Linked DNA regions of Arabidopsis thaliana. The protein of the gene in region 1 interacts with the protein of each later gene in a biochemical or structural test. Each region holds a gene or a part of one and is shown in the gene's direction. Other genes may lie near its edges.

What was found. The genes of interacting proteins can lie anywhere in the genome.
Region 2: of the proteins of CDC48 (region 1) and MC9, one has a biochemical effect on the other in vitro, tested with the Arabidopsis thaliana proteins (one large-scale study listed by BioGRID).

The regions. Positions count from the first base shown.
Region 1 is NC_003074.8:3,016,155-3,025,950, forward strand, and holds CDC48 (cell division cycle 48), read left to right. Parts: upstream 1-3,094; 5' UTR 3,095-3,339; coding exon 3,340-3,368; intron 3,369-3,517; coding exon 3,518-3,680; intron 3,681-3,969; coding exon 3,970-4,198; intron 4,199-4,324; coding exon 4,325-5,091; intron 5,092-5,175; coding exon 5,176-5,397; intron 5,398-5,486; coding exon 5,487-5,558; intron 5,559-5,641; coding exon 5,642-6,286; intron 6,287-6,375; coding exon 6,376-6,678; 3' UTR 6,679-6,898; downstream 6,899-9,796. Other genes in the region: AT3G09830 (Protein kinase superfamily protein), read left to right, coding at 1,045-1,422, 1,510-1,770, 1,845-1,967, 2,048-2,542; AT3G09850 (D111/G-patch domain-containing protein), read right to left, coding at 7,243-9,588. UniProt on the Arabidopsis thaliana protein: Probably functions in cell division and growth processes. Interacts with certain SNAREs as part of specialized membrane fusion events where vesicles from the same organelle fuse (homotypic fusion).
Region 2 is NC_003076.8:1,151,025-1,158,035, forward strand, and holds MC9 (metacaspase 9), read left to right. Parts: upstream 1-2,715; 5' UTR 2,716-2,868; coding exon 2,869-3,846; 3' UTR 3,847-4,016; downstream 4,017-7,011. Other genes in the region: PKS4 (phytochrome kinase substrate 4), read left to right, coding at 90-1,310; AT5G04210 (CCCH-type zinc fingerfamily protein with RNA-binding domain-containing protein), read right to left, coding at 4,031-4,466, 4,555-4,700; SYTC (Calcium-dependent lipid-binding (CaLB domain) family protein), read right to left, coding at 4,961-5,089, 5,175-5,303, 5,385-5,741, 5,824-6,073, 6,165-6,241, 6,354-6,428, 6,508-6,609, 6,688-6,806 and 1 more. UniProt on the Arabidopsis thaliana protein: Cysteine protease that cleaves specifically after arginine or lysine residues. Does not cleave caspase-specific substrates. Required for proteolytic processing of GRI.

The DNA.
Region 1 (9,796 bases):
TTGTAGATAGTTTTATTTTGTATGTTAAAACGTTTCACCATCGTTTATTCGCATTCCATTAATTTGAAGATTTATTCTGTCATAGTAAAATTCCCTAAACAATAGAAAATGATGTTGTTGAAATAAGTAAGATTTTATTACTAAATAAGACCATAACTCATAAGTGATTTAGATACACTGATCGATCTGTTGGCTACTTTTCTAAGCACCTCACCGTTGAACAAGTCAAAGGAAAAAGAAATGAAAACGTTGTTTTTATGTGTGATTGTGTGTCTAATAAAAGAATATTAATTTTGGAAACATCTTTTAATAGTAACAAATAATTCATTTGTTTTGTCCAATTTAAATTCTCAGTTCTTCGTTCTTTCGCTGACTTTAGCTATCTCTCTCTGTAAAGACTTCGTTTTTTTTTTGTTGCCGTGTGACGACTTCTTCTTCCTCTTCTTCTTCGACCTCTTTCTCTCGGAAGCTTAGCTTCTTAAAATCCATTTCTCTCGGAAGCTTAGCTTCTCAAATCCTCGATCTCTTTTGTATCGTGATTCATTAACCACTTCATGATAATTATAATCTTCCTTCTCTTCTGACGATTGAATTACATCTTCTTCTGATAGCTGTTCTGATTTTTTTCTGTATACAAAGTAAATTCAAAGGTGAGAGTTGTGTCATCTTTTGCTTTTTATATACTTGTTCAATAAGTCAAAGTTCTTTATGTTGCTGTTGGGTTTTAGTTTATTGGAATCAACTTGCGAAATTTGATTACTTTTAGCTTCGAGATCCCTTCTATTACTCACTGGAACTTAGGGTTTGTGTTACTTGGAAAAGAATTTGGATCTGTTGGGTCTAAAGGCCTTCCTCTCTGTTAAGTGGTTTTGTACTTGGGGGAAGCCTTAACTTTGGAAATGCTTGTACTTTGCAGATTAGTTGTTCGATAATATGCTTCAATGGTTTTGATTTTGTGGTTCGGTATATGTTATATGATCATTATCAGTGTTTTATTGGTGTCCTGCAGTGGACAAACATCGGTATTTTAATCTCCTCTCGATAATGAAGTGTTTCTTGTTCTCTGGTGGGGATAAGAGAGGGGAACAGAAGACCCCTATTTCGGTTTCATTGACCTCTATCTTCTCTGACCGCGAAATAAACCGAAGCGGGTCAGAGTTCAACTCTCGTGATGTCTCTGGGACGAGCACAGAATCATCCATGGGGAGGAAGAACTCGTACCCTCCGGTGTCTACTAGAGCAAGTAATCTCAGAGAGTTCAGCATTACTGATCTCAAGTCTGCAACAAAGAACTTTAGCCGATCTGTTATGATTGGAGAAGGCGGTTTCGGTTGTGTCTTCAGGGGCACAGTGAGGAACTTAGAGGACTCGTCAGTTAAAATCGAAGTCGCAGTGAAGCAGCTCGGTAAAAGAGGGTTGCAGGTATGTCTGTTTTTTCCAATCTTGTTCTCAAGATCTGTTACTCATCCACTGGTTTAACACTATTATCTCATTTCTTGGATGTTGCAGGGGCATAAGGAATGGGTTACGGAAGTGAACTTCCTCGGAATAGTTGAGCATACAAACTTGGTGAAATTGCTTGGCTATTGTGCAGAAGATGATGAACGTGGAATCCAACGGCTTTTGGTTTATGAATACATGCCTAACCGAAGTGTTGAATTCCACTTATCCCCTCGGTCACTCACAGTTCTTACTTGGGACCTCAGACTGAGAATCGCCCAAGATGCAGCTCGCGGATTAACATACCTGCATGAAGAAATGGAGTTTCAGGTAATATGATGACTCTGCTACGTTACTGATCTCATTTCACTCTCTTGACTAACTTTTATTTATTGGCTTTTCAGATAATATTCCGCGATTTCAAGTCCTCGAACATTCTTTTGGATGAGGACTGGAAAGCAAAGCTCTCAGATTTCGGTTTGGCTCGTTTAGGTCCATCTGAAGGATTAACCCATGTTTCTACTGATGTAAGTTCTGCATTCACTTCTTTTGGTTGCAAGATTGAAAAACAGGTATGTTTTTGAACGGGTTTCTTTGGCTTTATTAGGTTGTAGGTACAATGGGTTATGCAGCACCTGAATACATTCAAACCGGCCGTCTCACATCGAAAAGCGATGTGTGGGGTTATGGAGTCTTCCTCTATGAGCTTATCACTGGGAGGCGACCGGTGGACAGAAACAGACCCAAGGGAGAGCAGAAGCTTCTAGAATGGGTGAGACCTTATTTATCTGACACAAGGAAGTTCAAGCTCATATTAGATCCAAGGCTGGAAGGGAAGTACCCGATCAAATCGGTTCAAAAGCTAGCAGTTGTGGCCAACAGATGTTTGGTTAGGAACTCAAAGGCACGTCCCAAGATGAGTGAGGTTTTAGAGATGGTGAACAAAATTGTGGAAGCTTCTTCAGGAAATGGCAGCCCACAGCTAGTTCCGCTGAACAGTGTAAAAGCTTCGAGAGACGCGAGAGGAAAGAACAATGGTGGTGGCGGTGAAGGAGGTTGGTTTGGCAAGTTATGGAATCCAAAGACAATAAGAGCTTGTTGACTGCTTATAGAATTCAACCTCTTCTTACAGCAAAAAAAAGAGTCAAGAAAGGTTTCATGGAGATTCCGAAGGTTGAAGATTCTAGCGAGATCAAGATGAAGCTCATATACATACATAAAGATAATTATATATGAAGATTTGTGAAAGATTCTAAAATGATGAAATATGATTTTTGTATGAACTTATGAATAGTAACCACAGCTAAATTAGTAAGATATGTATATTAAGCAAGAACGGCTTATCAGAGTTTTGTTCCAAAGCTGATCAATCTACTCGTGCTTAAGTGTATATTTGTGGTAATGTGTTAAGAGTTCCTATTAATTACCATAAGTAAATCACAAACATAAATAAAATGAAAATAATTATGGGCTTTAAGGTCTGGAGGACTACTGAAATTTGGGAGAAGTAGTTGGAAAAAGAATATTAGTCGATAGGTAGGAAATTGATATTGCTTGTGGAATGGAGGAAAAAATTGAACGAAAAAGAAGTTTCTAGAATTCTAATCACATAACATAAATAGGGTGAATATTTGGGAAAAGTAAAACAATAGGGGTCGGTTTGATATTACTAGAAGATAAGAAACAAAAAGGAAAATAAGAATAAAGGAAAAAAAAAGAGCTCTCTTTTCCAACAAGAAACGTAGAGAGATATAATTAGAGAAAATCTGTGCTCTTTCAGATCCCATTATCACAAATCCATCTCTCTCTCTCTCTCAGAGAAGAAACCAAAGAAGAAGAAAAAGCTCTCAACTTTCTTCGATTTCTCAGGGAACTCTTTCGTTAATCTCAAACTCAATCATGTCTACCCCAGCTGAATCTTCAGACTCGTAAGTACCCAGATCTCTGATTTTGGTTTTCCGATCGGGATTTTTTTCGGATCTTCTTAAAGTCTGGGTTTTTCGATTTTGGGGATTAGGGTTTTGGTTGATCTTGTGTTTCTATAGTTGAATCTTAATCTTCTTTGTTGTTGTTACAGGAAATCGAAGAAAGATTTCAGTACTGCTATTCTCGAGAGGAAGAAGTCTCCGAACCGTCTCGTCGTCGATGAGGCTATCAACGATGATAACTCCGTCGTCTCTCTTCACCCTGCAACCATGGAGAAGCTTCAGCTCTTCCGTGGTGATACCATTCTCATCAAGGTTTGGGTTTGCTTTTGTTTGTTTGGATTCTCTTTTGATTGAGATATTGAATGGTTGGTTTCTGTCTCTATGAAGAGACATAATTTAGGGTTTTTTCTCCTTGCTTGATTAATGGATTCTTATGTGGTTCTACATAAACTAGGGTTTGTGGTCTTTTGAAACAAGTGATTTATGATCTTAGGTATTATACAAAATAAAAAGACTTGCTTTTGTACTGATCCTGTCTTGGTGAATGATTCGTATTAGTAGTCTTTATGAGTTCTTATTTGGTTTGGATTTTGGCTTTCAGGGTAAGAAGAGGAAGGACACTGTCTGCATTGCTCTTGCTGATGAGACATGTGAGGAGCCAAAGATCAGAATGAATAAAGTAGTCAGATCTAACTTGAGGGTTAGACTGGGAGATGTTATATCTGTTCACCAATGCCCAGACGTCAAGTACGGAAAGCGTGTTCACATCCTGCCTGTTGATGATACTGTTGAAGGAGTGACTGGAAACCTATTTGATGCTTACCTGAAACGTAAGTTGCCTTTTTGTTTTAGATCCTTATCCAGTTATGCAATTTTGATTTTTCTTTGGATGTTCTTGTTTGGTTTGAGATATTATTAGAGTGATTTCTTAACAAAGATTGAATTCTTTTCAACAGCTTATTTCCTTGAGGCATACCGTCCAGTGAGGAAGGGTGATCTCTTCCTAGTCAGAGGAGGAATGAGGAGTGTGGAGTTCAAAGTTATAGAGACAGATCCTGCTGAGTACTGCGTGGTTGCTCCAGACACAGAGATTTTCTGTGAGGGTGAGCCTGTGAAGAGAGAGGATGAAGAAAGGCTAGATGATGTAGGTTATGATGATGTTGGTGGTGTCAGGAAACAGATGGCTCAGATTAGGGAACTTGTTGAACTTCCCTTGAGGCATCCACAGCTATTCAAGTCGATTGGTGTTAAGCCACCGAAGGGAATTCTTCTTTATGGACCACCTGGGTCTGGAAAGACTTTGATCGCTCGTGCTGTGGCTAATGAAACGGGTGCCTTTTTCTTCTGTATCAACGGACCTGAGATCATGTCCAAATTGGCTGGTGAGAGTGAGAGCAACCTCAGGAAAGCATTCGAGGAGGCTGAGAAAAATGCGCCTTCAATCATATTCATTGATGAGATCGACTCTATTGCACCGAAAAGAGAGAAGACTAATGGAGAGGTTGAGAGGAGGATTGTCTCTCAGCTCCTTACGCTAATGGATGGACTGAAATCTCGTGCTCATGTTATCGTCATGGGAGCAACCAATCGCCCCAACAGTATCGACCCAGCTTTGAGAAGGTTTGGAAGATTTGACAGGGAGATCGATATTGGAGTTCCTGACGAAATTGGACGTCTTGAAGTTCTGAGGATCCATACAAAGAACATGAAGCTGGCTGAAGATGTAATTTTCTAGTCATAGCTTTTTCTGTGTTTGTTGAGTGTAATGTTTATTGAATGCTAAATTCTTCTTGTGGTTGTTTTCCAGGTGGATCTCGAAAGGATCTCAAAGGACACACACGGTTACGTCGGTGCTGATCTTGCAGCTTTGTGCACAGAGGCCGCCCTGCAATGCATCAGGGAGAAGATGGATGTGATTGATCTGGAAGATGACTCCATAGACGCTGAAATCCTCAATTCCATGGCAGTCACTAATGAACATTTCCACACTGCTCTCGGGAACAGCAACCCATCTGCACTTCGTGAAACTGTGAGTATTGACAGTACTCTGCTTAGAACGAGATCAAAGATTGTATCTTTGCGTAAATCTCATTCCAAATTTTCTTCTTTGCTTTGCAGGTTGTGGAGGTTCCCAACGTCTCTTGGAATGATATTGGAGGTCTTGAGAATGTCAAGAGAGAGCTCCAGGAGGTAAATTGCTAATATTTACTTTTGCTTGGGTCTGTCTATTAATTGTAATTTGTAACCTGAGCCGTGTGATTGTTCAAATGCAGACTGTTCAATACCCAGTCGAGCACCCAGAGAAGTTTGAGAAATTCGGGATGTCTCCATCAAAGGGAGTCCTTTTCTACGGTCCTCCTGGATGTGGGAAAACCCTTTTGGCCAAAGCTATTGCCAACGAGTGCCAAGCTAATTTCATCAGTGTCAAGGGTCCCGAGCTTCTGACAATGTGGTTTGGAGAGAGTGAAGCAAATGTTCGTGAAATCTTCGACAAGGCCCGTCAATCCGCTCCATGTGTTCTTTTCTTTGATGAGCTCGACTCCATTGCAACTCAGAGAGGAGGTGGAAGTGGTGGCGATGGAGGTGGTGCTGCGGACAGAGTCTTGAACCAGCTTTTGACTGAGATGGACGGAATGAATGCCAAGAAAACCGTCTTCATCATCGGAGCTACCAACAGACCTGACATTATCGATTCAGCTCTTCTCCGTCCTGGAAGGCTTGACCAGCTCATTTACATTCCACTACCAGATGAGGATTCCCGTCTCAATATCTTCAAGGCCGCCTTGAGGAAATCTCCTATTGCTAAAGATGTAGACATCGGTGCACTTGCTAAATACACTCAGGGTTTCAGTGGTGCTGATATCACTGAGATTTGCCAGAGAGCTTGCAAGTACGCCATCAGAGAAAACATTGAGAAGGTTAGAGATCCCATCGCCAAGCTCTTTATCCAAAGATTGTTATACTCTCCAATCGTTGAACTGAAGCTCATGTTTTTTTTTTGTTTCAGGACATTGAAAAGGAGAAGAGGAGGAGCGAGAACCCAGAGGCAATGGAGGAAGATGGAGTGGATGAAGTATCAGAGATCAAAGCTGCACACTTTGAGGAGTCGATGAAGTATGCGCGTAGGAGTGTGAGTGATGCAGACATCAGGAAGTACCAAGCCTTTGCTCAGACGTTGCAGCAGTCTAGAGGGTTCGGTTCTGAGTTCAGGTTCGAGAATTCTGCTGGTTCAGGTGCCACCACTGGAGTCGCAGATCCGTTTGCCACGTCTGCAGCCGCTGCTGGGGACGATGATGATCTCTACAATTAGTGATAACTTCTTTATCCTTTTTTTTTTTAAGTTTTAAAACTCGAATTCTCTACTTTTGGATTACTGGGGAAAGTGATACTGATTCTTTCCTCGTGTTTTTAAGTTATCCGAATCTCTTGTGTTTGGGTTTTAATCAATGTTCTTAATTTTCGTTTCAATACTTGTTTGGTCGTTCATTACAAATGGAAAAAATAAAGGATTATAAAGTAAGTTAAAAAGATTGCAAGTGATAAGTAATTGCTTTATAAGTGGTAAGTATCACAAATGTTCCCACTTATCAGCAATTTCCGCATATCAATGTTAATGCTCTAAGATCGGTACTTTCTTTTATAGAATCTTGGAGCCGAGGATGTATTTTTTTTTGCATCAATGGTGGTTAAAGAAGCCAAAAGAAAGGATGCTTTATTATGTCAACAACATTGATGTCAAGATAACAACAAAGCTGCTCCCAAGTCTTAAACATAAATTGAACAAAGGCCACATGTTGAAGATTGAAGATGAACATACTTAAAAACGATATCTTACTGTTCTTGTTCAAACATTGACCGTTAAATACTTCAATGTTTAGCCTTCAGCACCTATTCCACGTGCTCTAGGACGTCTGACAGCGACCAGCGGATTGACTATGCCTTGTGACTCTCTACCCAGACCCGAGCCTTCGACGAAACCCATTCTCGCCATCATCCTCGACCCAAAGCCTGTTGTGTGCTGCTCAAAGGCTCCCAATCTTTTGTCCCTGATTCTTCCTGAACCAGAGGCACCATTGTCATGGGTGATGCGTTTCCCATGTTTCCCGGAGGACGAAGATCTGTTCCGTTTAGCGTTGTTATTGTTATTACTTGACGGACTCGGGTCTTCAGTGTCAATGGAGAAATCCAGACCTAACCCAAGTGATTTCGGACGCTGAACAGCTTCTATTGGCTGTGCTATCCCCTTACCATCCTTTCCTAGACCACCTCCATCTATGAATCCCATTTTAGCCATCATTTTGGATCCAAAACCTCTGGTATGTACCTCAAATGCTCCAATGTCTGCTCCATTAGAGGTTCCCGGAGTAGTTTCAGCTACCTCTTTTGCAACTTTTTCAACTGAGGTTTTTGCAACAGCTATCTCAGAATCGATTATGCCACTTGACACAAATGATACAGGTTGATCAGCATAAGAACTCTTCTTCCCATTGCTTTTGTTTCTCTCCCGTTCCTCTCTAGTAGGTCGCTTTTTAGCTGAGTCTTTTGCTTTTTTCCTATCTAAACTTCCAGATTTCCCTTTTACCCCTCCACTGACAGCAAAATCACAATCCTCATCTCCAGCTCCTATTAGCTTCTCAATGCGAAGTTTATCGCTGGCAGATGGCATACATGTCTGATATGTTCGAGTCACCGTCACAAAGCTTTTCTTTCCAGAACCATTGCAGCTACTTGATAAGCGGTAGACATCTGCTAATCGTCTTACCTGAGAGCAATCTCGATTATGCATACGTTGGAAACAGTGCATGTCCACGTTCTCCAGAACAAAATTCTCTAACTGAGAATTAATATCAGCAAGATCAACACCACGCTGCAGCATTCTCTCACGGCGCTTCAAAGCAATGTATTCTTTGCGGTGTTTCTTGTTCTCACCAGGAAAACTACGGGAATTCTTGCTCTTTGGTGCCCGTGAAGGCCAAGACTGGGGAAACTTAGCCACCTCTTTCTTCTTATTCTTCTTCCCCGAAAGACTTCTTGGATCCTTCACAAACATAAGATCATCCATTGCCAATGGATTAGTAGACTTACCATGCCCCGAGTAGCCACTTCTTGTTGTCTTCTTCTTACCATATTCCATTGAAGCTTTTTGCAGACGAATACCAGTCAACTTTCTCGTTTTTCGATCCGAAGAATCGCTTGAAGAACTATCATCACTCGACAAATCTAATTTATCCAAAGACTGTTCTGCTAACCAATGAGCATCCAACATAATCTCACTGCCACCAATACCTTCCAAGTAATCCTTGGCAACATCATCATCAATCTCGGAATAACTTCCAAACATATCTTCCGAGCTGTCACTCTCAGATAATTCAGAAGATCCACTGCTTCCTTCATCTCCAGATTCATCATCATCATCATCATTCATCTCTTCTTCTCCATCACTCTCTTCACCAGATACATCTTCAGTGTACAACTTCATCCCTCCTATAGAAATGAAACCTGAATTCCTCCTTTTCGGTGTTTTCACAACATCAGGCATCAGTTCATCGTCATTTCCACCAGATTCGTCAACAGCATCACCCTCCTCCTCATGGGAAAATGAACCACCTTGATCTCCCAAAGCCTTTGGAATAGAAAGGCTACCACTTGGTGTAGCATCAGAATCATCACAAAATCCCAATCCTTTATGAGAATCATCACCCAAAACGTAACTCGGTTCGTATTCGTAATCATAACTTACCTTAATCCCTTTCGATGACGAAGGCGTTTGATCCAGAAATGCAACAATTTGAGTCGCCTCTGACTTCCCCAACACCAGTGGACTTTCATTCATTTGATCACTTTCAACTCCTGATCTTCGATCCAAACCTTCCTCAAAATCAATGGAAGGATATTGATACACATAAGTATTACCACTGCATTTCCTTGGACCACTCGTGGAAGCAGAAGCTTTTACACGCTCTATGCTTCTAGATCTCAATCCCTTTCCCGAAGAGCTTCCTCCACGAGATGGCGTCGAAAAGTTAGGATCTTTTCGGTAGTCGGAGAGAATACCTCCTTCAACAAACAAAGTAGTATTATTCTGACGTCGGTGACGACCACCGGAGGAAGACCCCGCCGCGGAATTATGATTGGTTCTCGTGCTCTGTCCTGGAGATTTAGCCTTGTTTTTGCCAGAACTACCACCACCGTTTGACCTTCTCCTACCACCGCCTCGCATAATTTAATCAACCTAATTCCCAGAAAACCCTAATTTGGGGAAGACGACGATGAATCGAAAGGAAGAATCACAGATCTTCTTTATTAGTGTGTTTGCCATTTCTGGGTTCTTCCCAATGAAATGGGCCACGTAACTAAAACGATGGGTTTCGTGTCGTTTTTGGATTCCTCTCTTCGAGGATATCTAATTGTTGGATATTCGAAATATG
Region 2 (7,011 bases), on another chromosome or scaffold:
GAGACTTGAGACAGAGCACTGAACTAACTTGCAACTCTGTTTTTTCAACTTCTACCAGAAAAAGAGAAAAAGAAGCAAAAGATACTTCAATGGCGCAAACTACTGTCACTGTAGTCGCGACCAAACGCGATGCTCTTGATCCTTACATCAAGATTCTTCAGAATCGATCAAACGACATCGATGTCTCCTTCTCTTCTTACCTCAAACCAGACAACAACGAACAACAACAAAAGGAGAATGAAGATACTGAGCTAAGTATCTTCGAAGCTCGAAGTTACTTTAGCGAAAACGGAAGCAACGATAGTCGATGCCAGACGAGGAATCTAAGTGGTCCAAGATTTTCTTCGGTCGCATCTGCAAAAGTGTCTTCTTTTACCGTGGGACAAACGGCATCCTCTGAAGCTAGCTGGAACAGCCAAACCGGTTTGCTCTCTAACAAAAACCGCCAAGGATCGGACAGAGATGGACGTAGAAGCAGCAAGAAAGGACCAAGATGGTTTTTTAGACGCAGGGCTTGTCCATGTTCTAGCTCCAAGTCCGTTCAGGTCCAAGAATCCAAACCAAGAATCGCAGTGCCCAAAACCGGTTCTGACCGAATCGTCTCGAACCGAATAGTTCATAGTCATCAGACGATATCTTCACCTGAGCCAATAAGATTAACGATCCCTTCAAACACTGTGACTCGGTCCATCGATTACACTGCAAACAAAGAAGCTAGAGCTCCAGTTAGTAATTTTAGCTTCCCAACTCTAAACGAAACTTCACAATTATCAGAAAATCCCAAGAATCCGGTTTTGAATCATATTAAACCGGTACGAATTGAACCGGCTCTGCTTCCGATTAAACCGGTTCTGAATCCTACGAGTCCCAAGGGAGTCATCATAGACGAAGAAGCCACAAGCGACGCAAGCTCCGATCTTTTTGAGATAGAGAGCTTCTCTACTCAAACCGCAGCTCGTCCATGGGCTCCACCAGTACGGGACTCGATGGAAGAGACCGTGTCTGAGTACGGTTACGAGCCAAGCGAAGCAAGTGTTACTTGGAGCGTTATGACCGCCGAGCCGGCCTCGGCCGTTGCAGCTAACTTCTCAAGAATTGCCTTGTCGTCATCGTCTACAGCATTTAGTGGTTACGATAAGAAGAGAACCGGTTTGTTGAACTGTCATTGTGAGAAGGCGGTTATGGTTAACGGCGATAAGCGTTTAGTGCAACCGGTTAAGAGCGTTGGTGTTCAAAACGACGTCGCGGGAAAGGTGTTGTGCAACAATGGCAGTTCTAAACTAAGCGTGACGAGTAGACCAAGGCAATGATGGATACCAAATCTTTGTTCTTGGTTTAGATCCGGTTTTCTCCAGTTATCTTGGTGTGTTTTGGATGCTTCTCGTGTAAAATTGCTCTGTTTTTTCTTCTTCTTTTTTTTGGTTAATATAACTTGTGTAATGATTAATGAAGATTATGGTTTGTGAAGTAAACAAAATCAATGTGTCCTGTATTTATCACAATATTGATCACATTTTTTTGTAATAACCGGAGTAAATCCCGGAGTGAAACCCAAACTAATCCTCAATACTTGTATGTTGTATTTAAGGCGTCTATAGTCAAGAAATAGATTCGTAGCCTTGACCCACATAGCGAATCCTCTATCCACTCGAACAAACCAATGGACCACAAAACACTTGGTTATACGATTTCTTTCTTTAGAAACCTCATCCACTACTTCTTTGAGGTCCCATGGAAACATCAATCTTCAAAGATTGTAGGCGGGCTGAATTGAGCAAAAGAAGATGCCCCATGTGTCTTTGTTGTAGGTACATTCAGAAAACAAGTGGTTCTTGGATTCAGGTGCATTACAGAGGAGACAAAAATTTCAAGAATATTCATGCCCCAATTCCTTAATCTATCACGAGTTGGGAACTTGGGAGATGATTCCAAGCCGTTACCCAAGAGATAATAAATGCATGCATAGGAATATAAACAACTTTATGCAATAAACAGACTGTAGTATTGGTCATCGATTTAGTTTTGTTTATTTGTTAAAAACATAATCCAGCATGTGTTTTTATCACATAAAACCAAAAAGAAAAATTCTCAGTTGATGAAGACGTTTAATTTCTGATTAGTCTTTCGTTTACTAAAAGCTTTATCTTTTAATTTGAATGCTTTTTATTTTGTTAAAGAGTTTACCATTGAAAGTTTGATTTCTTTTTTGGGGATATAACTTGTAAATATGAAGTCAAGAGTTAGGCTCGTAGGTGAAGTGAAGATGGTGCTAATAGCATAAATGGTTCGTCTCAAAAAGACTTTTCCGTTGCGTGCACGAAGTATATAGACGGTCCTTTAGGATTAAGGCAAATTATAGTTTGGTCAATTGACATTATTTTCAACAATGTATACGTTATATACATTCGTATATCATAGCATTTAAAGTTAATTAGCTCCTCTCTTCCCTTAGATAGCTAGATGGATTAGGTCTAAATATTTGGGAAAATGACTTCCCTTTTGAAGTTACGTATATATCCAAGTTAACCAAATTAATCATGAATCCATGACTTAGGATTAATTATGTCTTTCTCAAAAGTCTGATTTAAGGTTTAGTTTCTTGCTTGAAAGCATTAATAAGTCAAGAGTAAGCCATTAAAAAATGTTCCATAGCTTAAAAGCAAACTAGACTTGAAAATATAAATACTAATATCGTATGTAACTTGAACTTCACTACACGAAACCTCAATCATAAATACACATTAGCTCCAAAACCACAACACTGCACATGAAAACTAAACACACGTACACAAGAAACCCCAAAACATTTTGCCTAGAAAGTTGTTTAAATTACCTCTTAAACCTTAAGAAATCATATCCAGAAACTCAATGGATCAACAAGGGATGGTCAAGAAAAGACTAGCCGTTCTCGTCGGCTGCAACTACCCTAACACAAGGAACGAGCTTCACGGTTGCATCAATGATGTTCTAGCCATGAAAGAAACTATTTTGTCACGTTTCGGATTCAAACAAGACGACATTGAGGTGCTAACGGACGAGCCAGAATCAAAGGTAAAGCCGACAGGTGCCAACATCAAGGCTGCTCTACGTAGGATGGTGGATAAAGCTCAAGCCGGATCTGGAGACATCTTGTTCTTCCACTACAGTGGCCATGGAACTCGTATTCCTTCGGTTAAATCTGCTCATCCTTTTAAACAAGACGAAGCTATTGTTCCTTGTGATTTCAATCTCATCACAGATGTTGATTTCCGAGAATTGGTCAATCAACTTCCTAAAGGAACAAGCTTTACCATGATCTCTGATTCTTGCCATAGTGGTGGTCTCATCGACAAGGAGAAAGAACAGATCGGACCCTCTTCGGTCTCCAGCAACATATCTCCGGCTATTGAGACAACGAACAAGACTATAACATCACGTGCCTTGCCCTTCAAGGCAGTCCTTGACCACTTGAGTTCTCTCACCGGAATTACAACTTCCGACATCGGCACACATCTACTTGAGCTCTTTGGCCGCGATGCTGGTCTTAAGTTTCGGTTACCGGCAATGGATCTAATGGATCTTTTGGAGACTATGACGGCCCGTGAAAAACACGTGGACTCAGGGATATTGATGAGCGGGTGTCAGGCGGATGAGACGTCTGCTGACGTCGGCGTTGGGAACGGGAAAGCGTACGGAGCGTTTAGCAACGCGATTCAAAGGGTGTTGAACGAAAATGAAGGTGCCATGAAGAACAAGCAACTAGTGATGATGGCAAGGGATGTGCTTGAGAGACTAGGGTTTCATCAACACCCTTGTCTCTACTGCAGCGACCAGAACGCAGACGCGACGTTCCTTTCTCAACCTTGAATTTTAAACGTTTGCGTTGTTTTCTTTTATTTGTTTTATCACGTTTGCCTTTGGGGTTGTTGTAAATTGTTAACTGGTGGAATGTGTGTATTTTCTATTCTCTGTGGTGTACTCTAAAAGGAAAAAGGACATATAAAACTTGTTTAATAACATTTATCTTTTTTAATGGTACAAAAAGGTTTAATTAAAGCTTTTCTAGAGAATGTACTAATTTAGTTACCAAGTCAGCAGTATTGGAGCTAGAAGAACCAACCTCTTGGGTTGAAGAAATGGCAGCACCAGTCATTTTGTGCTGCCATTTTTCAGTAGGTCCCCACAAGAGTTTAACCCTCTGGCCTTTGATGTCAGTCCAGGAGGAGAGCTCAAGCATGGCCTTCTCAGCAGCTAGACGGGTAGTGTAAGTGAGGAAGGCACAGGTGCCTCCTCCTCGGTGGGGGAAGATAACAATAGATTCGATTTCACCATAGGGGCAGAAATGGTCTCGGATGTCCTGCTCGAGGACACTGGAGTTAATAAGTCTACGGATGTAAAGAGTTTTAATACTTTGATCCTCTGGTGGTTTCAAAGGGCCCGTGTTACAAGCTCTTGCAAGCACCTCGAGTACAAATGGGTTTTCTAACCTGCGGTGAAGAAAAATACATGAAACACACAAACAAACAAAGACTCGAGAATATATATACATCTATATATGTATGTAGAATAGCTTACCCAGAACGACCATGACAATCTAAGCCTCTGTTGATCTCATGGCGGTATAGACACATGGTACCTCTTGTACACTGGCGACCAGCGTCGAATAAAGGACAAATTGGTATGCAGTCTAGTTTCCTACTTTTATCCTCAATTTGGGCCATAAAAAACTACATTGAAGACAAACAATCAATATATCACCAGACCACGTAGATACAAGCAACTAGACGAAATTGGTAGCGCTAACTAATTCCTAAAACATAAGAAGAAGATTTACTCCAATATACGTACGTACAGAAAACATCAACATTTAATATGTACTTCGAAATTTTATTAAAATTATATGATTTTGATCAAGTACATGCAAGATTTTACAAAGGCCATACTAGAACAAAACTTCATGCCAGAATTGTTATCAGTTTTGTTAACTAGTTGTCCAACGGATCTCAATGTGAATAATGCCGTTTCTGGAATTGATAAGATGGTATTTCTGGTTGATCCTTCCATTGTCAACTACATCGTCCAGATTTATGTCTACATGTCCTAGTTCCTCCTATACAGAGATTAAGCAAAGGTATAATAAGTTGAAATGTCTCTGTCTGCTTTAACAGAGATTTTAACAGGCATGAGATCTTTACCTTGGATCGAAAGTGAAAGCCGGTTCCTTTACTCATGACCTCAACGCGTATACTCTCTTTCACTGGAGGCTCCTCTAGTGTAAACTGGAATTCCTCGTTCCATCGAGGGTCTCGTGTTTTCTTCAGCATCTGATCAAGAAAAAGGTAGCCAATATAACTCAAAATAGTTCTTAAGTAGCTTCTCAGCAAAATGCAGATTTAGAATTTTACCTTAGTTTTCTTCTTTTCTCCTCTGAAGAGAACAACAGCATAAGGGTTCGAGTGTTTCTTCTTGCCCTCGACATCTTTTGCAGATTGGACTGCAACCGAGAGTAGACCGGCTTGGCTGAGAAAATCATCGTCCTCTGATGATTTCTCTTCTCTGCTCTCTTTTCTACGCTTAATGCTTTCTTCTCTGAATGGCACATACCTGAGATCAACCTCTAATCTTCCTCTTTTTTTCTTGTCTCCAGAATCCATAACAACATTTGAGTTCTTAATCAGATCAAGATTAAACTCCTTCCTCTCACCCGGGTTAATCTTTTGCAAAGGGATCATCTGCATTCCTAATCTGTCGTGCCCACCGACCTATACAGATACAGAGCCGCTTTAGTAAGAATGGCATAAAATGTTGAACTAGAGAAGAAATGGGATCATTAGATGCATGGACCTTGTCCCAGTCAAAGACTTCTAGTTGAAGGACTTGTGAGTTTGGGTCCTTGACGATGAGCTTAAAGTGTTCGTTCCATTCCGGGTTTAAGTTCCTCTTCTTTATGGTGGTTTTCTTTGCTGGAAGCTTTTCTCCAGTTAAGCTAAGCTTGACATAAGGGTCGGATGTTCCCAACAAATCCTTCTTGAGGAGATTACGAGCTCGAAGAATGCTCACATGTAGTAATCCAACAGGCTTCTTTACAGACGCTCTACATCAGAATTAAACTTATACATCATCAGAGGAAAAGAAACAGAAAGATCTTCTGATTTCTAGTTGATAAACCTTGAGACAACACTTACGTTGAAGAATCAAGAATAGGTATCTCAAGCACTTGTGGCCAATGGTACATGCTTGAAACTTGCCTTTTAATAGTTTCCTGCAAAAATCATTAGATAAAGATAAGTTCTCTGTAACGAGACCGATGAATGAGCATCTCATTTGACTAGATAAACCAACTCCTACCGATAGGAGGATCATCAATGCAGCACCTGAACATATCTGTAGAGCCCCGGTATGGACATGAGATCTCCACCAAGCACTTTCAATCCAAAATCAACATGTGGCTGCAAAAGAGAATCATGTTTAGCAGAGCAGGCCACTTTCAATCTATTTTGTGTCACTCTTGTGTGAGAGGTAGCTTACCTTTTCCATTAACGAAACTACAACCATTCCGAAACAAGGGAATGTCGGCAGAAGAGGCTTCAAAGCTACACGCACTATTGCAAAAAACTGGAGATCTACTAGCTGCAAAGTTAAAACATTTAGATATTCAGCAGTGGAGATGCCTATGTTCCATTCTTTGACAGTTTCACTCTCACTGACCTGAACTCTAATTCGTAAAGACAGAACCTTTAGCACCAAAACAATGTTGGGATTGCCTGCCCATTTGATTGATGGTTCAAACAGAAGCTCCTTCTCATTGGTCTCATAGAACTTAACACCTGCAGGAGGAATCTCTTAACCATTAACACCTGAGAAACAACGGTAAGAGATCACAAGAGCTAAATGAGACAAGGATTTGCCGTGAACTGTAGGTGGAAGCGTTCCAAGACTCAAATTTTCGAACTCAATGGATTCTATACAGAAGGTGCCAATATAATCTGCAAATAAAGGTTGTACAGAACTCCGGATGATCCCGCAAACAGC